7 linked regions of the Solanum lycopersicum genome follow. The main gene of each other region encodes a partner of the protein of the gene in region 4 in a complex. Links are inferred from orthologs where the notes say so. Each region holds a gene or a part of one and is shown on either strand. Other genes may lie near its edges. The genes, in order: transcription initiation factor TFIID subunit 15, transcription initiation factor TFIID subunit 10, transcription initiation factor TFIID subunit 15b, transcription initiation factor TFIID subunit 7, transcription initiation factor TFIID subunit 1, transcription initiation factor TFIID subunit 11 and transcription initiation factor TFIID subunit 5.

Evidence for each region.
Region 1: transcription initiation factor TFIID subunit 7 (region 4) and transcription initiation factor TFIID subunit 15 share a complex: the UniProt entries of both Arabidopsis thaliana proteins name them as parts of the TFIID complex. The link is inferred for Solanum lycopersicum from reciprocal best matches to the Arabidopsis thaliana genes TAF7 and TAF15.
Region 2: transcription initiation factor TFIID subunit 7 (region 4) and transcription initiation factor TFIID subunit 10 share a complex: the UniProt entries of both Arabidopsis thaliana proteins name them as parts of the TFIID complex. The link is inferred for Solanum lycopersicum from reciprocal best matches to the Arabidopsis thaliana genes TAF7 and TAFII15.
Region 3: transcription initiation factor TFIID subunit 7 (region 4) and transcription initiation factor TFIID subunit 15b share a complex: the UniProt entries of both Arabidopsis thaliana proteins name them as parts of the TFIID complex. The link is inferred for Solanum lycopersicum from reciprocal best matches to the Arabidopsis thaliana genes TAF7 and TAF15b.
Region 5: transcription initiation factor TFIID subunit 7 (region 4) and transcription initiation factor TFIID subunit 1 share a complex: the UniProt entries of both Arabidopsis thaliana proteins name them as parts of the TFIID complex. The link is inferred for Solanum lycopersicum from reciprocal best matches to the Arabidopsis thaliana genes TAF7 and HAF01.
Region 6: transcription initiation factor TFIID subunit 7 (region 4) and transcription initiation factor TFIID subunit 11 share a complex: the UniProt entries of both Arabidopsis thaliana proteins name them as parts of the TFIID complex. The link is inferred for Solanum lycopersicum from reciprocal best matches to the Arabidopsis thaliana genes TAF7 and TAF11.
Region 7: transcription initiation factor TFIID subunit 7 (region 4) and transcription initiation factor TFIID subunit 5 share a complex: the UniProt entries of both Arabidopsis thaliana proteins name them as parts of the TFIID complex. The link is inferred for Solanum lycopersicum from reciprocal best matches to the Arabidopsis thaliana genes TAF7 and TAF5.

What each region holds. Positions count from the first base shown.
Region 1 is NC_090810.1:45,838,641-45,842,812, reverse strand, and holds the start of transcription initiation factor TFIID subunit 15, read right to left. Parts: upstream 2,801-4,172; 5' UTR 2,647-2,800; intron 425-2,646; 5' UTR 376-424; coding exon 256-375; exon of another isoform or gene 240-255; intron 115-239; coding exon 1-114. UniProt on the Arabidopsis thaliana protein: TAFs are components of the transcription factor IID (TFIID) complex that is essential for mediating regulation of RNA polymerase transcription.
Region 2 is NC_090811.1:67,585,591-67,589,874, forward strand, and holds the start of transcription initiation factor TFIID subunit 10, read right to left. Parts: upstream 2,801-4,284; 5' UTR 2,429-2,800; coding exon 2,330-2,428; intron 2,251-2,329; coding exon 2,186-2,250; intron 1,071-2,185; coding exon 1,008-1,070; intron 1-1,007. Other genes in the region: protein GLUTAMINE DUMPER 2, read right to left, coding at 3,821-4,279. UniProt on the Arabidopsis thaliana protein: TAFs are components of the transcription factor IID (TFIID) complex that is essential for mediating regulation of RNA polymerase transcription.
Region 3 is NC_090805.1:50,539,679-50,541,783, reverse strand, and holds the end of transcription initiation factor TFIID subunit 15b, read right to left. Parts: intron 1,055-2,105; coding exon 934-1,054; 3' UTR 501-933; downstream 1-500. UniProt on the Arabidopsis thaliana protein: TAFs are components of the transcription factor IID (TFIID) complex that is essential for mediating regulation of RNA polymerase transcription.
Region 4 is NC_090803.1:63,319,516-63,323,470, reverse strand, and holds the start of transcription initiation factor TFIID subunit 7, read right to left. Parts: upstream 2,801-3,955; 5' UTR 2,663-2,800; exon of another isoform or gene 2,399-2,662; intron 2,318-2,398; 5' UTR 2,316-2,317; coding exon 2,207-2,315; intron 1-2,206. UniProt on the Arabidopsis thaliana protein: TAFs are components of the transcription factor IID (TFIID) complex that is essential for mediating regulation of RNA polymerase transcription.
Region 5 is NC_090806.1:3,258,954-3,262,453, reverse strand, and holds part of transcription initiation factor TFIID subunit 1, read right to left. Parts: intron 2,542-3,500; coding exon 2,205-2,541; intron 1,092-2,204; coding exon 882-1,091; intron 731-881; coding exon 638-730; intron 1-637. UniProt on the Arabidopsis thaliana protein: TAFs are components of the transcription factor IID (TFIID) complex that is essential for mediating regulation of RNA polymerase transcription. Core scaffold of the TFIID complex.
Region 6 is NC_090804.1:5,061,233-5,065,388, forward strand, and holds the start of transcription initiation factor TFIID subunit 11, read right to left. Parts: upstream 2,801-4,156; 5' UTR 2,593-2,800; intron 1,332-2,592; 5' UTR 1,324-1,331; coding exon 1,007-1,323; intron 1-1,006. UniProt on the Arabidopsis thaliana protein: TAFs are components of the transcription factor IID (TFIID) complex that is essential for mediating regulation of RNA polymerase transcription.
Region 7 is NC_090805.1:43,588,075-43,591,335, forward strand, and holds part of transcription initiation factor TFIID subunit 5, read left to right. Parts: coding exon 1-67; intron 68-204; coding exon 205-244; intron 245-2,987; coding exon 2,988-3,152; intron 3,153-3,261. UniProt on the Arabidopsis thaliana protein: TAFs are components of the transcription factor IID (TFIID) complex that is essential for mediating regulation of RNA polymerase transcription.

The sequences.
Region 1 (4,172 bases), on a different chromosome or scaffold from region 4:
AGCAGCTAATGCAGCATGAGGGTCTTCATATGTGACTGTGGCATCGCCTTTGGGCTCATTAGTAACTTTATCACGGTATAACCATATCTTGGGCCTACCGCTTCGTTTGTCTTTCTACAACATGAAGCAAAACAAATCCTTAGAAAAGAATAAAAAAATCAAAGTGATCTGTTCAAAGCAGAGTAGGGGGAAGTGGGAGAGAGCATATAACAAACATTCTCGAACATAATTAGAAGTACCTGTTCACAACCATACCTTTAGCACCCCTATTGTGCCAAAATATTCAGCTAGCATATCTTCATCTGTACCAAGGGGCAAGTTACAGACATACACAGAACCATTTAATGTAGATCCTTTCCCTGAATAGCTTGCCATTTATGCTCCAATTTCATCAAATCCAATGACACAATAAAAACCCCAAGAACTGCATAAAGCAACAACCTAGTATTAGTCCTGCCACAGTTCCCCTGTCCTTAAAAGTAACTACAGGCAAATCATATTAAACTGAGAAAAGCACCAGAGTATGTGCAAGTCAAAGGACCAAACCAGAAGAAATGAAGAGATAACTAAAGAAATTTTTTTTATATAAGATAGGGTGTAGGGAGGAAGTTGGGACGAAGCCAACTTTTAAGTGGTGGGATTAGAGACAAATGCCACTTGGCAGTAAATTTTCCAAAACAGCTGGAAATTGGTTAATGTTTTCTTACTGCAATCTTGTAATACATTAAGGAAAGAGCTAAGTAGTTATTGTCCTTTATGAGTATAGAATTTCAGGTCAATGGGCTAAAAGCACGTGTAGAATACAATACTTTCGAGTATACCCAATTTGAGAACACTACTAGGGACCTTCACATGTCGATGCCTGTTAATTTTTGCAACAAGTTGAGAAAATTATCAGGAACTCTGATTTATCAATCAATCAACTACGTCTTCATCCCAAACTAATTAGTATTGGCTATATGATCCTTCATATCTCTCCCGCACTATTTTTTTCCTTATCAATGATGTTATAAGTACTTGCACTAAGTCAGTGCCACAAAATGTAACTAAAGATTGAGATTTGAGGCATTGAGCATATCCACTATTGCATCTAGGCTAGCATCTTCATCATGTTCAATAACCAGTTTGCACTAAAAAGATCGAAAAAAGTATACAGTTTTGTTTAAGGGTATGTCTGATTCTTCAGTTGCCTAAGAAAAAATCTGCTATTTCTTTCAAGCCATATAGTCCACCAAATGGCTCAAGGAATGCTATTCCAAGTATTTGGGGATTTCTTGCACAGCCTGCTCTCTTTGTTCCAGCATTGCAATAGCTCAAAAATGGAGAACAATACAGTGCAAGACATGCTAAACATTGACAAAAACATGCACCATAACCAGAACAACAGGCTTCAAAACAAAAGCTTACTAATCAAATGGCTTTGGAGACTCAAAGATGAAAACTAAAGTATCAATACCATATGTGGCAAGGAGGACCAGTGGACTCCTAAAATCACTAATAACTAATAGAAACTACTATTTGGAAGCATATTTATCCTTATTAAAGGTAGTTCAACTCTTTTACTAGCAGAGTTGTGGGAATCGGCAAATGCATCAGATTCTGACTGGATCACTAGTTAGATATTGTGATACTAAAAAATGAGGTCCCTACTTCATTAAATAGGAAGTGCATGATAAACTGATGGCTGTTTGTTTCTCTAATACTAGATAACATCTACAACTTAGAAGTTAGAAGAAACCTCAAAGATTGGGAAAGACTAGAGAGTTATGAGTTTGGTCTTCTAAAGAGGTTCTGCAACCTGTATCTGCAAAAGATATTAATATTAATTCATTGAAGTGGCTGGCTAGAAAGAGTAGACTTTACTGTAAAGAGTTGCTATGATCTACAAAAGCAATCCCATGATTGAGATATGGATTAGCCTTTGAAAATTATTTGGAAATCAAAGGTACCTCCAAGGTAACTTGTATTGGTAGAGTTGGAACCAAAAGCAACCAGGAATGCCTGTATTCAGGACAATCTTGAAAGAGAAGGTGTGTCCTTGTGCAGTAGATGTTTCTTCTGTGAATGTTACCAGGAAAGCAGCAGAAACCTATTTCTCTATTGTAGTCAAGCCTTGCTAGTTCAGTCATTTCTCAATTTGTTTGCTGTCTGTTGGGATATGCCAGGAGATGTATAGTGGCAAGGACAGAGATATCAAAAAATTCAACAAAGTTCGAAAGATTGCTCCTTCATGCATTTTCTAAACTATTTGGACCCGAACAAGAGTTGATTTAAAGTTGATGAATTTTACCATAGCCTATCATGTTCCGATAGGTTGATACAATAAGGACAGCACGTATATTTTTAATGACTTTCATCTTACCCTATCGAAAAGGAGATGAAACCCACAACACATGGAAAAAAAATATATTTATAAGTCTTGAATCTTTTTCAGTGTGTGAAGGCAGGCAGATTGGCAATACATAGAATTTAGGAGCCATTAATAAGAAAGTAGTATGTAAATTCGAGTACAATCCACGACGAACTATACAAGTTGGATTCTAGGGTTTGTTATACAGTGAGATTACAAGCGAAGCAATGCAAGTCATGAGTGAAAATGGAATTAGGGTTTTAATTTTGACAATAAGAATCTAGAGAGGGACTTACAACTCGATTACGCCGGGGCTGTACTGAAGAGATCCACCGGAGAACAACGGAGAGAGAGCAATTTCGCCGGCGCCAACTTCGCCGTATAATAAGAGTGCCTTTGAAATTGGGGCAGAAACCAATAAACAATATGTATTGTGTTTGGGTTGGGTCCATTTTTATCCATTGCACGAATTTGGGCCTAAGAGTTCAAAATCCATTTGAGCCTAGTGCACAAACAATTATTTTTTTGAAAAAAAAAATTAAACAACTACACAATATTTCTTGGACAACTTTCACATATAACAAATATAAAATTCTTAATTTTATGCAATGACAAACTTTTCAAAATTACATTTCGTAACAAAATTGTAGTTTGCTACGGATGAATAGCTGTTTGGTGAATTGTATAATTAGTATATTATACAGTGCAGAAGAAATTGTATAAAGTAAAGAGAAAAGAGAAAAGAAAAAGCTTATGTTTGTAAACTCAGAAGAATTACTGTTTGGTGAATTGTATAATTAGTATATTTATACAGTATAGAAGAAATTGTATAAAGTAAAGAGAAAAGAGAAAACATATGTTAGCAAACTATGGATTTATCGTTGTTTGGTGAATAGTATAATTAGTATATTTATACAGTGTAGAAGAAATTGTATAAACTAAAGAGAAAAGAGAAAATTTTTGTTTTTATATTTATATTTATATAGTGAAGATTCAAAGCCCATTTGGATAGACTTAAAAGTAGCTTTTAAAAAGTACTTTTGAAAATGTTGGAACTTATTTTTAAAATACGCAGTTATGTGTTTGGCTAAAAGTGCTGAAATTAAAAAAAGGTTGTTGATGTGTTTGACAAATAAGTGCTGGTAAACACTTTTTTAATCAAAATGTCTAAAATACCATAAATGTTGTGAACATGATAAAAGTTGATTAATTTACGATTTTTATACTTCAAAAACTGAAACAAAATTAATTTATATTTTACATCCATCAGTAATTATATTTTGCTATCATTCACATATTTCCTTATTATCATAAATTGTGTATAAATAACAATAATAATAATTATAATAATAATAATAAATAATAATAATAATGATTTAATATGAAAATAATAATAATAATATAATAATAACAACTATTATTATTATTATTATTATTATTATAATTATTGTAATAATAATAATTATTATTATTATAATAATAATATATTATAATAATAAATAATAATAATAACAAATAATAATAATAATAATAATAATAATAAAATAATAATAATAATATTATAATGATAATAATATATAATAATAATAATAATATAATGTTATTATTATTGTAATTATATTATTATTATTATTATTATTACTATCATTATTATTATAAGTATAATAATAATAATAATGATAATATATAATAATAATAATAATAAATAATACTAATGATAATTATAATAATAAAAGATAAAAATAAAATATTAATTATAATATTAACTATAATAATAATAATAACAATATATAATAATAACTATACATAATAAATAATAATT
Region 2 (4,284 bases), on a different chromosome or scaffold from region 4:
AGTCATCAACTTTCCTTCCTTCAACCACTGCCATCTTGTTGTCTCAACCATATTTCTAGTCTCTACACAGAATACCAATGGAGATACCCCTTGCTCCTGATATATCCTAACTTTCATCGACCTGCCTGCTTTCAACCACTGGCATTATGTTGTTTCTCTATTGGAATGGCCCGTTTCATAAATATCCATTTCTTTCTAAACATGAAGGATACATAAGAGACCATTCATAAACTCTTATTCTTTCTTCCGATGATAAAGCCATAATCTATCCTCAAAAGACTCACAGCATTTCATGAGTTTTACTTTCATTACGACTAGTGAAGGCAAAATAGTGAGTAAAGTGAGGCATTCACAAAATCTTGAGTCGATAACGAAACAAAACACAACTGATTTGTCACAGTTGAGAAGATCTACCACAATCCAGTAGAAGCATTAGGAAAATAACAATCCATTGGAAACATTAAGAAAGGAAGTTCAGAGAAAGTTGGATGCTTTGTTATTTGTAATCATATATTCTGAAACAAGGTCTTTCTACATGTCTACTCAAGTCATATCTTAGTTTCTTTATATTGTATTTTTCTGTTTCTTTGTCTCTTTTCTAAGGTTTTGGAGTGTCACAGACACAATAATCTCCTGAGGTAGTAGTATTATTGCGCTAACAATAGAGAATTTCAGGTGTTGTATTTTTGGTAGTGTAGTCAAGTTAGGGTCGGCAGTCTTTAAAAATATAACAGGCTTGGATTCTAAAATTACCAACTTAATGTTTCTAATTCATTAGAGACGAACCAAAAAGAGTTTTTTTAAGGTTTGGGGGAGGAGAACAACTTGAACACTTAAAAGTTGGAAGGATCATACAATGACAAACACCTAGACAGGCAACAATTGCATTGAAGCCTCAAGAGTAGGGGACAATCGATGAGCAATATGCCGAAGAATTAGCAGCATACTTAACATAAGATGGAGGAGGAAACAGAATTCAAGAAAAATAAAATAATTAAGAAACATACTGGAGAGCATCAGTAGCCACATCTGCAATAAACTTCTGAGTAGCAACTGCCACCAACCTTATTCTGCATATCCAAAGGAAAAACTCAATACAACAACACAGTATTAAAAACTGATAACATAAGATAAACCAGCCATCACTGTCAAACAAAACATCAAATGCTACAATATTAAAATTTACAACTTGTAAAAAGGTAAATACCAATCCAATTCACAGATATATAAATTTTACTTGAATTTACTGCTAAACCAGATAAATAGAAAACGATCAAAACAAAAACGGAACTAGAGAATACTGCCGCTTAGTCACTGTTTGATTGCTACGAGTATAAAGATATTCAGCTAATTGCTCATCTAATTTTCATAAAAATGGGTATTGCCTTGCGGCTCCACCAACAACCCACCAAGATGTTATATTATTGTTTACTGATGCAGGTTTACAGGTGGATACTGGACTGGCAAATATTGGTGTTGCAGCTCTGGAAAGCCTTGGAAAACTGATTCATGCCCATGTTTCCCCAATCCAGTTTGCGGGAAAAGCTATGACTGTTGAAGCACTTGCTTTAAGAGTGGCTCTTGAACGTACAATCAGGAACAATTGGAAGGATGTGAGAATCCTATTGGAAGCAAAGAGTGTTATTGATTATGATTCAGGAAAAAGTTAACTACCTCATGGGAGATAGAGGTGACTTGTGAAGACATTTGGAAGCTAAGAGCTTGCTTGATCATGTAGACTTTGTTCATATTCCGAGAAGTCTAAACAAAACTAGCACATAATTCAGCTAAGTTTTCTATTACTTCGTTGAAGGAAATATCTTGGGAGGACATCCTCCCAAGCTGGATTTTACATCATTATATGGGCACCTTTGCCCAATTTATTTGTTTGCTGCAGTAACATAATATCTCCCTTTGAACCCCCAGGGCTTAGCTCACTTGGCAAAAGTGTAGAGCTTTCGCTACGCCAAGCAAAATAAACGTAGGTTGAGGAGCGCGTTCATCGTATTCGAGTTTAAAGACTACGGTTAGCTCAAGACAGAGGATAAACCTAGTGAAAATAGTTCTAGATAAACACACGAAAATCATATCTTCCTTATGAGCAATCCAAACAATTTTTCTATAACTAATCTAAGCAGGCTAAATTGCAGAAACATCAACATAAGAATGGGAAGAAAATACATACAATCGAACATCAGGACATTGAAATCCACTTTTACCCAAGTAATGCTCCACCAATTCATCAGGAATCTGATCAAAAGCGTTAACCTACATAAATAAAACATAAAATTGATCTCTTCAGTAAGAAAAAGGGCAAAAAGTAGCTCACAGTGGGAGTATAGTCCATCAAGGAAGCAAGGAAATCGGCTAGAACAGCATCATCCTCGTGTCTTCCTTCACTTGTTTGTTGACCTTGACTTTGGTTCATCTTCACCGTCGAAACAGAGTCAACGGAGGATCGGCGGTGGTCGGAGTTTCAATTTCGCCGGAGGAAAATTGGGGAAGATTTGTGCCTTTTTACTTTGAGAAAAAAATCGGAAGAAGAAACTGAAGAAAAATATTCTAGTAATAGGTAAGTAAAATTACTATGGTTACGATAATTTAAAATATTTAAAAATATATATAAAAATTATTTTTAAACTCACATATTGAAAAAGTAATATTATTTTCCTTCTAGGATATAGAAATATTATAATTTTGATTATTTTTTAAAATTCAAAATTGTTTCTCCACAATTGTGCAAAAAAGAAAAAAAATGAGAAAAGGCCTAAGATAGAGGAGAATTGTATTTTTGTTATGTGAAATTCGTTCGCGAAGAGGGGCATATATATTTACCTAGCTAACGATAATATTTCGTAAAAAAAAAAATTATATTTTATTTTATTTTTTAAATTTGATAGTTCATAACATTTAAAAAAATTATAAAATAAAAATATAATTAAATTATTTTATTCTCTATCAAACCAAACGCAATTAAAATTTACATTGAAGTATATATATATATATATATACACACACTCATAATCACTTATGTTAGCCATTTTATTCTTCTCTATCATAGAAGATTAAAATGAATTATATTATTATTGAGTAAACAATTTGGATATTATTTGATAACTAATTTAATTACAATACAATTGAGTAACTTAATTGGTACTTGAATGATTTGGTAAGCACGATTATAAATCATGTTTCACAAATATGACTAATATCACATTTGATTTGCATCATTTGAAAGTTATATTAGATAAATATAATTTATAAATTACATATTAATAGTAACTCAATTTATAGATTAACTATATATCATATTCGATAGATACGACCTATAAATTGCATGAATAAGCATGATTTTTAAATCATATTTAATTACTATAAATTATCAAATATAATTAGTAAATCACAATAGATATAAAATCGCAAACGTCACATATGCACATACATTCGAGATTCTTCAAATAATTCATTTTCTAAATCGATATATAATTGATTCTACTCTTTTCATTCATTATATTAAAAATATATCATCAATTTTACTTTTTTCATTGAAAAATTTAAAAACGATCTATTTATTTTTTAGCAAAATGACTCTTATGATTATCGTTAGCTAATAAAACACGTATCAAATCGAAGTAACAATTTCCGTGAAAACATATTACTCGAAAACGAAAATTTTTTCTAACTCTTTGTTATCTCAACCAAAATTGAGTACAATTTCCCGAATCTCAAAATTGAAAAATTAAACCAAAAATGGAAGAACTCAAAAAAAAAAATAGAGAAAATTGCTCTGTTTTTTTTTTTTCAAAGCTCAGTAGCTTCATCAATGGCCGATTTGAGATTCTTCATGAGCTTGATCCATAGCTTCATCTTTCGCCTTCTCATCATCAAATTCTTCAGTTTCCTTTTCCAATTTCTTCTCAATTTTATCACCAGCACCAAACGAATTACCTCTACTCGAAATAGGCGTAGCCAAAAAAGTTGGATTCAAATCTCCAGCCATTATCACAACTATTTTCTCCTCAAAAACCGGCGACGCCTTGAAAACATCACCGGTCGATTTCTCGCCGTCGCCGGATTCTACATCGCCGTTTTCTCTCGGATAGCCGGATCGTCTCCAGTAAGAACAAGCTAGGATTACTAAAGCAAAAGTTATTAACACTAGCATGGACGCTACGCCGGCGAATAGATACGGCGCCGGCGAATGCCATGGCGATTTTTGAACAATCGCCGATGGAGAGACTGATGGAGAAGCAGTAGTAAAGGTACTTACTGTTCGCATTTTTA
Region 3 (2,105 bases), on a different chromosome or scaffold from region 4:
CTACTACCCACTAAAAAGTACTCATTTGTTGTACCAAATTTGAAAATGATAAAAACAGACACATGGCTAAAAATGGGGTACAAAAAACCTGCAGAAGTACCAAAATGAAAATTCAAGCTACTTCCAATGTATGCTCCACACAAAGAAAAACTATTGCCACTCGGAATTTTATTTAGAACGACAAAAAAATTGGACACTGGTCCTATTTCCTGTGAATAGATTGAGAACCAACATGCAAGCACTCAGACCAAACAATCAATTTACAGTCTTGTTTTCTCAAATTGTAACTAACACATCATCATTATTTGTATAGCTGTGTGGTCGGATGTCTTTTTTCTGATCCAAACATTAATCCCTACAATTAAATTACCAAGTACTTCACCATTGTACTCCGCCATTCATGCTGAAAAATGTGTTTAGTACAAGAGACTTGTCCTCCATATTCTTCCATGGAAGAGAAACTGAACTAGCAGATACACAATAAAAGAAAACAGTACAAGTAATTAACAGCAACATCATATAGGAAACAAATTCATTATACAAGGGGTCTAGTGCAGAGATGCTAGCATTTCCAAAATGCAAGCAAAATCACTTAAAGAGACCAAACATCATTCAGCTTAAATTACCAGAGTAATCGGTTTTCCACAGTAGTAACACTCACCTGAATATTTCACCTACCTTAGCAGCAATTTGCAGAATATCCAATCGCCTCTATCAAAACATTCAACATATCAAAAAAGGTTCTGAACTAGAAAACCCCACCCCTTACGCAACCCCAAGTAGCAGAAAGAAAGAAGAGAAGGTGGATATTGCTCAAATGGAAGTGAGTTAACAGCCTACCTCTTTTAAGTCACAGAGAGTATATCTTGAAATGGAACTAACTAAAAAACCCTCCCACCACAAATTTTAGTACATAAAATGCTCGACTGGAACTCAATAAGGACGTGAACGATTTCCACCATGAAACTGTCTATCTGGGCCGGAACCTCCACCGTCTCTGTAGTTATCCCTGCGCCCGCCACCACCACCACCATAACCTCCGCGACCGCCACGGCTGTCAAAGTATAGACAGACATGAGCATAAGAGATATATTTACTATACAGGTTAGCACAGGGAGTCGTAAGTTCAGCATACACAAAAGGTCCCCCATCCCATTTATAAATTTAACCCAACAAATAACAACATAACCAGTGCAATCCCACAAGAGGGTCTAGGAGGGTAGTAGACTACGCAGACCTTACCCTATCTCGTAGAAATAGAGGGGTGGTTTCCGATATACCCTCAGCTTAAATAAAGCCAGCCAAATATATCATTAACCCGATGGAACTATATAATATAAAAGAAACAACATATTCTTCATTCAATCCAATAGATTAAACATTTTCTAAACCTTGAGCCAATAAAATATATAAACAGTTCTAAATGGCAATAGAAAGAACATAGGGCAGGAAGAATGCATAGGGTGTCAATCAGCAAGTGGATTTTCAAGTAGCAAAAATGGACATCGATTAAAAACACAATTACAACATACAACATGCAAAAAAAATTACAAAAACACTAATTCTTGAAAGCACTATTGAAATATGTAACTTTACAGTTTTACATTGAAATATACATAGATGATGCTGATGAATATATTTTTGCAGGATAAAGAAAAAATGTTTACTAATGAAGCCACACAATTATGATTAACCGGGTTCCCATGCACCTCATAAAGGACAAATGTAGTACCAAGTTATAGAGATGAAATTTGATTGCTTAATTCGCTTTTCTCTGGGAACAAATCAATGTATCAATGATGTTAACAATTTACTGAAAATAATTATTGAAATTAAACTTCAATACAGACACCCTATGCGATCAAGTATGAATTTTAGGCATGCAACTTTAGTATGAAATTTGGCACAGCAATTAGAGTCAACATCAGATGCAAGAACAACTCTGATCATCTACTTGATAAACAACCAAAACTCTGGAGAATTCATAAAAATAACCATACATCCACTATCTAGTTAAACACACTTGCTAACTCTGCATACATTCCACAGCATAACCACTAAGACATGTTGTGAGTTGACATAAACTGTGAATTGTAGCACAACTG
Region 4 (3,955 bases):
TGTGGGATAGTTTGAGGGACTGGTCTGCTAACATCTCATCTCCTTGGTGTGTTACAGGAGACTTTAATTGCATCGTTGGTCCAGAAGAAAAAAAGGGGGGCAACTCCCACAGGATGGCCAAAAGATTACCTTTCTTAGACTGCCTAATGGACTGTAATTTGCTTGACTTGGGCTTTATTGGCTCCAAATACACGTGGTGTAATGGCAGATTCCCTGAAGACAGGATTTGGAAACGGCTAGACAGAGTCGTGGCTAATGACGAGTGGATTAAGACTTTTCCTGATTCTAGCATATCTCATCTCATAAGAACAGGATCAGATCAGTCACCTGTTTTCTTTTCTTTCTCTACAGGTACTCCTCAGAGAATTAAGTACTTCAAGTTTCTTGATTTTTGGACAGAGCAACCTGACTACTTGGGAGTTATTCAAAATGCGTGGAACATTGAGGTCCATGGCAACCCAATGTGGAAAATGCATTTGAAACTTAAAAATGTGCGCAAACATCTTTCTTGGTGGTCAAAAAACAGCATTGGTGACATTTTTTAAAACACCAAGAAGCTTGAAAAAAAGGTAAAAGATCCTGAAACCATAATGGAAACCAACCATTCTAGCACCATCAGACAAGAATACAATAAGGCAAATGCTGAATTCATTAAGCATTTGAAAACTGAAGACTTACTTTAGACAAAAAGCTACACTTAAATGGCTTAAGGAAGGAGACAACAACACCAAGTTCTTCCATCAGTTATCAATAGTAAAAGGAGGAGACTTATGCTCAAGACTATAAAGAATGAGTTTGGGAATTGGATAGAAGGGGAAGATGGCAGAGCTTTTGAAGCAGTCAATTTTTTCCAAAAACAATTCACTCAAAAGGAACAAGTGGACTGGAACATATTAAGCTGCATCCCTAAGAAAGTTACCTATGAAGACAATGACTACTTAACCTCTCTTCCCACTTTAGAAGAAATTAAACAAGGATGAAGTTTTCATCCTCATTGGATCTCAGGGAGGTCTGGACAAAAATCCAAAACTCAGACCACAATGTTTTCACTTATTAGCATATGAAAGAAAAGACCTAGGTATGGCGGGCCACAATGGGGGGAAAATCCTGCCTTAGAAATCAGATGAGGCCATATAACTTGTGGACACCAAAGACTATTAATTTACAAATTCAATCAAAACGACAGTAGAATAAACTATGCTCTATTGACAACTTCACACCCCCAATATTTTGGAACTTCTTATGGGTATTCCAGATAACCTCAGAGAATAAAAATTGTTTGGAAAACCATTCAGTCTATAGTTAATCATTCACATCTCAATCCCAAATCAGTTAGATTTGGATGAATCTTCTATGTATTTTCCCCTCTATTCAAGTAAATTTCATTCCAGTACTAAATACTTAACATTTTTAAGACGAATCACAGATTCTCTAAATCCCAAAGGTTCTCTGAATCAGAAGCAGTATACGGAATTGGAAGATATAGGGGGGAGTAAAAAGGTTCAGCTCTCACGGAGGTGGCCTAGTGAATAGTGATCGATGAAGTGGGTTGAGAACCGTGAGGTCCTAGGTTCAACAGGCAAAAACACTAATGATTTCTTCCCATCTGTCCAAATTTTGGTGAAAAGAGTTACCTAATACTTGCACGGTCGGAGGTAGCAAGTACTTTGTGGAATTAGCTGAAGTGTACACAGGTTGGCTCGGACACCCTGGCTATCATAAAAATAATAATCAAAGGTTTAAGGAATGACAATACGAACACATGGGAAGCGAAAGATGGAAGGACTATGGTTTCCTGTTTTGATAGGTGATGCGAGAGTATTAACGATGTGAAACAACATAAAAGGAATGTTGGTGTGAAGTAGGACTAGTTTAAATCTAAAGAGTAAATGCCAACATGTCAAATAATTGTGTCAAAAATTATAAAGATAATGGCAAAAATCACACTTGAAATATCACATTTTTGCGAGTTTTCAACCTAAACTGTCCGGTATTTACTTTTCCTACCTAAACCATCACCAACTAGTTACCAAAAGACACCTCAACTATTAGTTGTTTCCTTTTCCTACCTTAATAATTGCCACATTTCAAGTAATAAAAGGGAACAATGAACACCTGATAGTTCAGTGTATTCTTGACCATCAACTTAAAACTATAAGCTCCTGCACAACAATATTTAGAACTCCAAAAGAAAAAAAGAAGTTACCAGAAAAAGACAAGTCCAGTTTGTCTTCTGAAGAAGGATTTTCACTTAAAAGACGGTCAATTCGCTCAGCAACAGAAGGTGGAACCCTCAGAATAAATTGCTCATCCATGGCTGCACAAATTTAGAAGAAAAATTGAATCTTTTGACCAAACAAAAATAACTTCAGAAACACCCTTAAACTTGATTTTCTACTTTCAATCAAAGAACCCTTTTGACATCACTATCTTCTCCACCCTTTTGACATCACTATCTTCTCCACCCTTTTGACATCACTATCTTCTCCATAAGTATCAGTCAAGAATCATACAATTTTCAAACGAGTAATTTGTACTCTACTTTGAATAAAGAATCAAAATTTATAGAAATAGATCAAACAAATTCCTTCGAAAAAAAACTTTAATAAGTAGGAATTTCGATTCTTCTCTCTTTAACATAGTAAATTGATAGAATTCTCACCACAAAATAGTGCCAATTGTTGAAGCAGAGATGATGAAGAAAAAAAAAAAAAAAAAAGAAGCTGGGTTTCGAGAAAAGTGAGAGAATGAAAAATGATTTTAATGGAAGTGTGTCGAATTTATGCAAATTGAGACACTAATTAATAGCAATTAGAATGATTTTGGTGGTAATGTGAAAAATATTTTAAAAAATAATATTATAATTAAAATAATGATAATAACGTCAGCAAATCTGATTTAAATAATAATATTAATCGAAATGTATAAATTGTGTTTCTATTTGTATAAAGCGAGAGAAAATTTATAAATATTTTCGTCTTATACACTTATAATTAAACAATAAAAATGCTCTCCTACCCAGTTTCTTTTGTCTTTCTCTCTTTTTCGTTTTATACAAATTTAAATTGTATATAATTTCTCTCTTTCTCGTTTTATACAATTCGATTCAATTGTATATTCCCTGTCCAAGTCTCTTTTGCCTTTCTCACTTTTACATTTTATACAATTCGTTTTATACACTTTGTTTTATACAATTCTCTGTTCAAGTCTCTTTCTCTTTCTAGTTTTACACACTTAATTTTATATAATTCGCTTCAATTGTATATGTATAGCGAATTATACATTTATGTGTTTGCTATGGAGTGCAATTATGCAAACTTTATTATAACATACAAATATGCATTTTATGTTTGCTATATATGAAAGTTGTCCAAACTTATATCTAGGTTCAAATTTAAAAAGAAAAAAGTTAAAAATAAAGAAGTATTTATTATTTTAAGTCGAGGGTATGAATTGTTCGAATTCAATATGAAAATTTTAAAGTTTTTAAATTGAAAAAAACTACAATTAAAATAAAATAATGATGAATTGGGTAAAATTCAATTTTGGATTAATTGGTGTAGCCACTGTGGTAAATTATGATTCTTGAGCCTTTAAGATCAATCATAAAAATTAACGATCTCAGTTAATCTAATAATTCTTCTATTCCATATTAACACTTTTTGTTTGGATAGCACTGTATTGTATAGTGAGGCAATGCACATTGTTAAAGAAAAATGTTTGAGGACATAATTGAAATTATATTTTTTAATATTATCTTTTTTTGAATCATAAATATAACTTTGTAAATGGTGTAAGTTATCCTGTAGAAAATATAAAACTCAATTAAAAGAAAGGACAAAATAGAAAATAATCCAAACATATGTCTTGAACTTTAAACAATTCAATTATTTTAAACAATAAAAAAATCTCAAAAAATCACTTAGTATGAAATAAAAAAAATAGCTTTTTTTAT
Region 5 (3,500 bases), on a different chromosome or scaffold from region 4:
GAATCCGAGAGAGGCATATGTGAGTTGGAGTCCTCGGAAAATTGATAAGACCATCAAGAAGACCTGGTTGATGATGTCTGCTGCTAATTTTTGGAGCCTTTGGACAGAGAATAACAGAAAATTTTTTGATGGCATCTCAACTCCAAGCCATTCTCTTCAGCTAAATGTTTAGATCTCTTTTGTTGGACAACGTTGTTCCCAGTAACTAATTCAGCATAGCTTTTGGATTTTATTAGCACTTTAGTTCTTTATTGAGACATTGTATATGGGGCAAACAGTGTTCTCCTACTCTTTTATTCTTTGGTAACTAGCCTCCAGTGACTTTGCATCCTTTGAAACATTACTTCATCAAAAGATATACTATATATTATAGATGAAGACGTCTAAATTTGAATGCACATCTGAAGATTAAGCCTCCTCCCAATACCAAATGTGCTAAAGTGGAAAACTCCATCATAATCGAAAGATGAAGCTTTAAGAAAGTGTTATTTGTATCCCAAGTTATTTTGACAAGCGCATAATATCTCTTAATTCATCAATTAAAGAATATTTTTAAATTGGAGGGAGGGAGATCTTTTCAGGGGGATGGAGGAGATGAAAGAGAAATTTAAAACAAGGATCTTTTGAAAGAACTCACACTTTCCGGCGAAACTAGTCTCCTCAATTCCTCCTCGGATGGTATCCGAAAATTGAACCTCATAACCCATTGGAACTGTCCATTTGATCTTCTCTGCATCATGTCAGCACCCAAGTAACTTACGACAGACACATAAGGGGAAGGAGCACACAGAATGCGACAAAGACGAGTTCGAATAAATTATTTCCCTCTAATGCCTGTACTAAGAATTTACCCAGGAATTGAATGATGTTCACAAAAGTACCTGCAAATCAGCACAATGTTTGAGTCTTTTCCTAAGAAAGGCCTCTGACAAGCTAGGGAACTGTGCAGACAGCTCATCCGCACGGATGGAAGGACGGGAACCGCGCTTTTCAATAGCACGAAATTCACGATACATATACACCAATAGTCTGTTCATTATGTAGGTCTGAACACCTTTTGATCCAGGAGAGATTACCTCCATGTGAGGCTCCTTCAAGAATACAGGGAAAGGCAGATTAAACAAGGAAATAGATCCATCACATATTCATACAGAAGCAACAACAAACAGATATTAGTCATAAATTATTCATGATAGATCATCCTCTTCAAGCATAAGATGCTAATAGCTATAGCATGCTTGCACATTAAAGAAACTTGGTTATCCTCTTCAGGTATAAGCATCGACATAGCTATAGCATGTTGCACATTACAGAAGCATGTGTTAGCATACTGCACAAAGAAAAATCCAATATTTAATAGGATAGCAAAATCTAGAGGACAAAGTGAATTGTCCACTATTGCAAATTTTGCAACAATAGTTGAAAGTTAATTGGGTTTATAGCGAGAATGCACACCAATATACCTCCATGACCAATAAGTAGAAAAATCCAAAGATAATGTAGTTAACCACAACTAATGCAAAGCAAACTCTACTTCCTCCAGGAATAAAAAATGAAAAAAAAGCATATGAATTGAATAAATTATGTAGCTTCGAATCCATTTCCTTCACGAATTCCGGATCATCCAATTTTAGATTATTTATTTCAGATCTGTCAAACTACAATCAGATACTCCACCATCCAGGGCCTGGAATAGTATCAACTCATTGGCATGACCTGACACTCAGGCCCCGCACCTCACATCATCATCAAAAGATATAGTAAAGGTGTGTATTTTGAATATGCAACTGGTCATCAAAGGTAGTTTTCCATCGCACAAATGAACAGATCAGGCAAGGCAATGTAACATCAAGAGAAGTTCTAACCAGATCTAGCAAAACAAGTTGAATGCTTCAAGAAGAATGCATGTGGACAATGCAAAAATATGAGAAAATCAAAGGCAACCCCATCACAGGAGGACCAATTCATATGCCTTCTGAATTTCAAAATTCAACCTTATTATGCAACAGCTCATTGCTTTAGGTTCATTACTGGCAAAAGCATAATAACATGAACCCAGAAATTTTCTTGATGCCGTGGTTCGATAAATTCTACTAAAACAATCAATATTTTAGCAAAAAGTTCATCAGAAAATGATAACATAAAATTTGCATAGCGTGATCAAGAAATTACTCCAATGAGACAAGTTAAGGATAGTAGACAACCTGTTGCCCTACAACATCAATCCTGTCTATCCGCCTTATGGACAGCTTACCCTTTGTTGAGCGAACCAACAAATAATCAGTTGATGAGACCTTCTGCTGAAAAATCGGTGCCCTATACATATTTGTTTCAAGAGATGACTGGCTGCAACCAGGTTTTATATCCCCAAGGAAGGGGGATTTATCAGAAGGATCAAGTGTGAGTACACTCCCCAATCCAGTATTTCCATTGCGCAACAAGGTGCCTTGCTGATCATTTGGAGATAATTTTTGGTAGTAAGTACACAATCTTGCACCCATTCCAACATTTCCAAGGAGCAAAGGTCTCTCCTCACAGTATCTGCAAGTAGAAGAGCAGACAAAAATGTTGAGCAGACTAAGGAAAAACATCTTAAAGTTTTATATACATGAAAAGAAGTGATAAAATTCTCTTTCAATATTTTAAATCAAAAGGTTTCACCAGAAACACAACAAGGTGGTGATGAAAATATGTACCATGTGATTGAATATAGTGCTACGTTTTAAAATCTATCCAATTGTTATACAAAAAGGGGTCTATTCCTCACACCTAAAATTTAGATTGAAACAAAAAAATCTTTATTCATCAATAACACAAAGGTGGTCACAAAATATGTATAGATATTTTTATAGAGTAGTCCTCTGTCAAATACATCCAGCTGCTATACAAAAGGGGGCCGTACACATTGCACCAAAAATATAGATGAAAGAAAAAGGATCTTTTAATGCTTCATATATCCACCTCTAGACAGATAGCATTTAAGATGTTATTTGCACAATTCACAGGGAAAACAATTGGCTTCAGTTACATCTCAGAAAGTAAAATTCTTCAGCATCCTACTTGGATATTTTGAATTTCCATTACAACAAGAAACAAGAAAAAGTACTTCCAAAAATTCATACCAATAAACTACTTATGTGCGAAACAAATCTCCACTTAACCAATGCAACAGACTAGTCAACTTTGACATAGATCACCTTTCTTATTATAAAGAAAGGCATATTATTCATCTATCACAGCACCTAGAGAGTGCTGGATGTATATCAGGACAAAAATTAGCGTCTCATCAGATCATCCTTATCATGGTAAAAATTAAAATTCCTACAGTTAGATAGTGATGATAATCAGACAACCAGTTACTTCTATTTAATAAATGAGAAATCCCCACGGACCAGGTAGTGCACAATTTTAAACTTGGCAGATGATGGGTCAGTCCCTCCACACTTAACTTAAATAACAAACCTTTTCTACGACAGGGTTCGAACTTAGTGACATGCGCC
Region 6 (4,156 bases), on a different chromosome or scaffold from region 4:
AGGATAGAAAAATATTCTAAACTGAGCTCACGTAAAAACGAGGTGCAGACCCTAGATAGGAAGGCCTGGAGGTCGAGCATTAGAGTAGAAATTTAGTAGGTAGCCGCGTGTGGTCGCCCGTTTGGTGGGAGAGGCAATGCCATATCCTCTTCTCCTTATTAGTAGTAGTATTTAGTAACTCGCATAGTTTCTTATTTTTCTATGTGTTTCTACTATTTGTTGCTTCATTTTGCTATGTGTCCTGATATTTTGTTTTCATGTTTTCTTATTGCAACCCTTCAATGAATAGCTTCCCTTTTAAGCCAGGGATGTATCCAAACAACCTCTCTATCCCACAAAGGTAGGGGTAGGGTCTCCGTGCATCTTACCCTCCCAGAACCCACTTATGGGATTATACTAGGTATATTGTTGTTTAACAAGGAGGTGCAGAAGAAAAACTTTAGCATAACAAGTATATATATAACTGCAATGTACAATTCCCATTTTATTGGCCTTGACCACAATATGGTTTCTTCCATACTAAATTAGTTATTCTCCATATTGCCCTTACTTAACAATGCTGATACAAAATGTCAATTTATTATTTAACAGCTACTATATTTCCTACTGGTGTTTATCTGCAGTAAATCAAGCATATCAAGCTAGATGAGATCTGTTCACAGATCTCAATAGAAGCATTGACCTGCTGGTTATATATACATACTTTTTGTTAAAAAAAAAATGATACAGCAGATATACTGAGGGAATACAGCATACAAAAGAGAGTTAAATTAATAGTCTGAGTAACAAATCAACAAGGAAAGAAAGGAAGGTGAGAGGAAGGGATAGAAATCATCAGAAAAGGAGTTATTCTTTTATGCAAATTGATCAGTAGGCAGGTCCAACCACCCACATAAGCTATCACAGAACAGGATAATAGCATACAATCTTGACAATCTTCTGTGAATGGAATCCTTGTAAACAGAAAGAGTTCGAGATATTTGAAAACATAAACTGACAAACTTACTGCATCTTCGCCAGTTTGTCAGGATCACTACTTGATGAGAGTTTTCCTAACTGCACATCCATGCTTTCTTCCTCTTCCTCCTCATCTTCCTCTTTGGGTTTGCTAATTGGACCAGCAGTACTAACAGAGACTGATGTAGCTTTAGATGTTGAAGGTTTTTCACGAGAATCGGTATTAACATCGTCACCTTCATTCATATTAACACCAACTGCACCTTGATCTTGGCCTTCATTCTCATCGGTTCCAGCAGGGGATTCAGGGGGTGAGTCATCCTGCTCCTCAAAAGTAGCCTCAAAAGGATCCTTAGATCGCTTCATAGAATTCGCTGCACCAGAATGTTTAGATTCAAGTAAATTATTCACCATGCTAATCATTCATCCATTTTGATTGAGATATACCAACTTCCAACACAATAATGTGATATGTTCAAGACAATTTTTTAGGGAGGCATGGTAAATTATAACTAGATTGATTTGGACCTCACAAAATGGCCACACTCTCCAACCAGGTCGATTGATAAATTAATGGAGTTGAACTGATGCAGCTCAGATATTCTCAAATCAAATGATCATTGCAAGGATGAAAAAGATTAAAGCATTCGGAAGGAAGGAAAGTAAAGATAAGGATGAAGCAACAATGTCAAAGAAACATTGTTGAAGTTTGAACTAGAAGCTACACCATCCTTCAATATGTCTAGATTAAGATAAAAATGAAATATAGAAGACAAATACTGTACTATTTCATGTTATCAGTTTCAACAAAAAAACAATGTACTATTTCAAGTGAGACCAAAAGGTTAAGTAGTTGTCTACTTGCGCTGGTACATTTTTTGTTATATAACTGCAGTTATTGCCCTGTTAAATTTTCATCAACGAAGCAATGATAAGATATCCTCTCTTCTTTTTCATAACCGATAGGATCCTGCAGTCTGTTGTGGTGTATAATGGGCTCATTCCTTTACCCTTCCCACTTAAATACCAGGCTTTTCCAACAAAAGGGTTTGAACACGTAACTTACGCCTAACCACCACATCACTCAATAACCAAAGCCCTGGTGGGTATACAAAGACATCCTCCCGGTACATCCTAAGTCACAAAACTAAGACTATAAGGAGTCGTTTGGTATGATGGATAAGGAATAACAATTCCGAGACAAAATGCAGGACTATTTTATCCTGCATCTGGTTAGGGAAATTAGTTAGTCCCGAGATTGTTTATCCCATCATATATATGGTAGGATAACTTTGTCTATCCCATTCCCTGTACCAAACAACCCTTAAAGATTCAAGCTTTGCATGTGATTTAACCTAAAAACATTTCCAAAACTAAAGTGTGAACAGCTATAGCATGAAACAGGCCTCCCCTAATGGAATGGATCGGTTCTGCCAACGAAATAAACACGGAACAAATCTAAGGTATGTGAACAGCTGTAGCATGAAATAGGTCATAAACGGAAAGATTTCCAGCTGATTTCAAACAATTGAACTGCACGAAAGCTAGCCCGGACACCACGATTATCCAAAAAAATTGTTCATTGCAATATTAGGCAAAATCATAATTGATCAATCCAAATAGAAAGAAAAATACCTGGCGAGCCAAATTCTGTGATACTGATCTCTCACCAAAGATAATTCCGGCGAGCGTGCCGGCGGCCGGTCTGAAGAAATTTGACGGGTCGATTTCGCTGATGTGGTTGTGGGTTTAAATTGGATTAGCTCATGGGTCGGGTCGGGTCGGATTTGATTGGATTCATGAATTAGGGCAGTTCAAGCGGACGGAAACAGATAATCCCAATAAAAAAAGGTTATTGCCTCTGATAATAAATTATTGATTTAGCGGTTTTAATAACGATTTTGATTTTTTTTAATTAGTGAGATATTAGTTTTAATGATTTGAAATTATTTTTTTTAATGGATTAACTAATAACTTGATTGTAAATTAAAGAATTATATTTATACAATTTAGTAGATAATGTCCTTGATTTACTATATAAATTTATCTTTTTTATTTTTGAGTGTCTCAAATTCTCGATTATTCAACAGTGATGTGATATGTGAACTTACATGTCCACTCATTTTGTTCGTCACAGTATTTTTAAGTGATTATTTTAAATCAAATCTTAACGGTTAAACAAATTACCAAATCAATAACAGTTGATAATTAATAAATCGATAACTGATAAGTTAATATTTTAATAGTTCTAAAATAATTTAGCACATCTCTAAATCAATAACCAATAAACCTCAAATCAAACGAAATCGATACGCAACCCTTCATTTACCTTCTTGCAATTGTGGCCAAACAAATCACAGATGGTTTTTTAGTAATGGGCCTAGGATTTTAACCAAATTATTTTCATTTTGGCCCATATACAAGGGAGAGCAAATTAAATGAATATCACATACTTTAAAAACATTTTTAGTTTTGTTCTTTTATGGTTAGTAATTAGAATTTTAATATTTCTTTGACTAAGTACAAAGAATTTTGTTGACCAATTAATCAAATCAAGAAATTTATAAAAGAAAATCACTAAAAGTCTAAAACAAGACTATTGTAATAAATTTTTTTCTTTTGAAAGTTTTCAATGCTAAATGCTATATAAGGTTGTGTACGATAAAAACTAAGAAACACTCTAAAATTCTTAAAGGTTTTATTATTTTACAAAAAGATGGACAAAACTTCGATTATGGCACTTTTTGTTGTTGCTTTCTTGATTGCTTCTTGTGGTTAGTCTATTTTGTTTTCCTCTTATCATTTTTCCTTCAGATCAGTTGATTTTGTAGTTCTTTACTTTGTCAATACGTATTATAAAATGTTAACAATTGTTTTATAACTTTTTAGATGTGGCGACAGGCATGAGAAAATGTAGCACAACAGATGATTGTAACAATCATGAAAATATGTTTCCAAAATGTATTTGTGTTGATGGAACATGTGTATGCAGCTCACTCAACGCACATTCTATTGATCATGAAGATAGTGGTTCAAGTGGCAAGTATTAACCTTGAAAAAATTATATTAAAAATGTCTCATTTGATATTGCTTACATGATGAAACATTTGCAATAAAATATTTAGTTGGTTGCATCATGATATGAATTTTTTTTTGTTTCTTTTACTATTTTAGATCTTGAGTTATTTTCTCCGTTTAA
Region 7 (3,261 bases), on a different chromosome or scaffold from region 4:
AAACTGTGCATCAATATCACATGATGGATCACTAGTGGCTGGTGGATTCTCAGATTCATCTGTGAAGGTGCTTGTAGCTTCTGAATGACGTTGAAATTATGTTGTCACAAATTACAGTATCTGTTGATCCTTGATCATCTTCTTATCTTTTTTTTGGAACTGGTAACTTTGATCATCTTCTAATCTAAGTCCCCCATTTTACAGGTCTGGGACATGGCAAAGCTTGGGGAACAAACTGGTCCATGTAAGTCCAATATGATGGTCCTCAGCTCCTTTTCAATGTATTGTTATTTCATGTTTCAAGATGTTTTAGTGAATAGAGGTTGAAAAGGTCCCTTTTAATACTACTCCTAGTCACAGTATATCTCGCCAGGACAGCAAGAAAGATTTATTCTTTGCTGCTTTAATTTATTTGATAAGTAGATAAATTTTATTTCACTAAGAAACTGCACTAGGGTTGTGAAGTTTGTTACATCAGAAATTTGCTTAGCAGAAACATGATTAGTTATGAAGGTTTCTCGACTGAACATATAAATGCAGCTTTACATTTCTGATGGAAGTATTTCTTGAACTCCTTGCATTTTTCAATTAGGTAAATAATTTTAATCGAAAAGTCTCCTGTATACAATGCAGTACACAAAAAATAACTATATCAGAATATGATTCTAACAAACAATATCCTATTGTTTTTTTTTTGGAGAAAGTATCAGAATATGATTCTAACAAACAATATCCTACTGTTTTTTGTTTTTTTTGAGAAAGTAACATTTGTATTAAAGAAACTTGGTAAAAAGGTTGTGCTGGTAACCATGTGCAGCTTCCAAAAGTATTGGGAATCCTTTTACTTCTCACTAGGGATCTATCATGTCATATTGGATTCTACATCATTTACATAATCTCTTTGCACCAAAAACATAAACAACACAAAACAATTCATCTCTATCATTTGAATGAGGCTATTGCTGCCTTCAAAACATCTAGGGTTCCTTTCCTTCAAAGCTGTCAACCAAATGCTGGAGTGAGATCTCCCTGATTGTGCCAACATCTCAGTAAATCAGCTGTAGTTCTTGGCACTGTCCATCCGAGTCCAACTATGCTTGGGAAGAGTTGCTACAATTGAGCAGTTACACCAAGATGTAAGAACAGGTGTCTGTTAGACTCTTTAAGTCTGCACAGTATTACTAACATCTGGTGCTCAACTGGAATCCTCTCTTCTTTAAATTTATCGAGTTAGACTGGCCTATAAGAACTTCACTAATGCACCAAAAAGAATCAAGGGATTGAAAAGCTATTCCTTGAGTCTACATACTCGTTTTCTATCTCTTAAAAAGTCTTGAACCACTCCTATAATGTTGAAGTGATCAATAATTGAGAATTTTGTCACATGTCTTGTTATGACGCTCATCATGTATGCTAGTGGTTTAGATACTCCTAAGGAAAAGGCAAACATTTTGAATCCAAATGTTAACATGAGGTTTTTTTTTGAGGATAGTAACACTAATCTAAATATTCACAGCTAGACTACATCCAAAATATGTAGTCCCCTTCAAAAGGTATTGCAGTCTAGTAATATTGCCGTCTATCACCTATATTTCTTACAAATAATCCAAGACATCCCAGATATCTTGCGCTTGGACTAAAAAGTTCTCTTTTCACCAAAAATAAAATAAAGCTAGAGAATTCATCTTGAAGCTCTGAAGTCCATTCTGCTTGTCTTCAAAGCACCTCTGGTTAGAGTTTTCTCAAAAGGCCTGCATATCCACTATGGTTCAGGGCCGATCATAATCCCTATGATGTGATAATTCCGTTGAATAAGGTGGAATGTAAGTAAAAGAAATTCATTTATAAATACCAATTAAGTGCCAAACAATGCGTAGATGTCCATGTTACTTGGAAAAGTTTCCATATGATGCTATATTTCATGTTCTTTATTCATTCTTTGTTATTTCGTATTAATTATTTACTTCTTATTACAGCCTTTTATATAGTTGAGCTTGTGCTAAGTTGTTTATTCTTTTGCACCATCAGTAATATTCTGAATGTTGCATGTGATGTATCAGGTTGAGGGTAGTTTTGCTATAAAAATTGATTCCACCTTTATCTTGTCCTAAATTCTAAGTTGGATTTTCTTTTCTGATACTCTCACTACAATCCCTCAGGAAAATCTAGTTATATTGTAAAACTGGCATATTTGCCTTGAGCTGTCATATTCTAACTTGCAGAAAGGAAATAAGACAAATAGCTCATAGTTCCTTACAAATGCACGCCTTTGGAGCCAGCTGTTATGTTATTCTCTAAGGCATATCAGCAGTCAAGATTGATTCTTAAACTGATTTTTCAGCTCCATGAATTTGGTCTATTGGTAAGAGCACATCATGTAATGTTTGAGTTAGAGGCATGTCACGAGTTTGAACCCAACCACTTCAAAAAACATAGTTTTTAAGTATAGAATGTGAGAGGGGCGACTCCAATATCCACCGAGTTTTGGACTGCGTCGGCTAGCCCTCGGGGATTTCTGGGTTATCAATTTTCTTAAAAAAGCTGCTATCTCCATACTAATTGCTTATTGAGGGTTATCAATTTTCTTATAAAAGCTGCTATCTCCATACAAATTGCTTATTGAGGATGAATTTGAGCAGTTACTGAAGCAACTAATTTTGAATAATTTGTCCTTCAAAAATAAAACCCACATATCAAGAACTAAATGAAAGGTTATTGCTTCAGGGGTGTAGTTGTTCTTTAATATCTATAAAAGTATGTGAAAGCAATTTAACCAAGGATTAGTTTGTTTGACTCGCTGAAGCAAAAGAAGGCTACTACTTTGGGGCCAGGGTAGCCATAGATAGTCTGACGTCTTAGAGTATTGCTGTAAACAATCAACATCTTGCAAAACATGTCATTGTTAATGTGTGCCCCCCTGTCTCTCATACACACAAAAAATTGCCGAAACAGAAAAAAGAATGGTTGATGAACAGTGCTAGAACCAGCTTTTTTGCAGGGGGAGACTGATTCACCTTCAAGTGAGCATGTGCTTGGCGCAAATGGTGGAAGAAGATGTTATACATTACTTCAGGGCCATTCAGGGCCTGTTTATTCTGCATCATTCAGTCCGCACGGGGATTTTCTTCTTTCTTCATCATCAGATTCAACTGGTATGATATCATATGACTTTGATTGCTATTAGCTCTACAATAGTTCTTATTCATATGGATTATGATAGTTACTGAAGTTCTATATGCTTACTCTATAACCATGTGACCT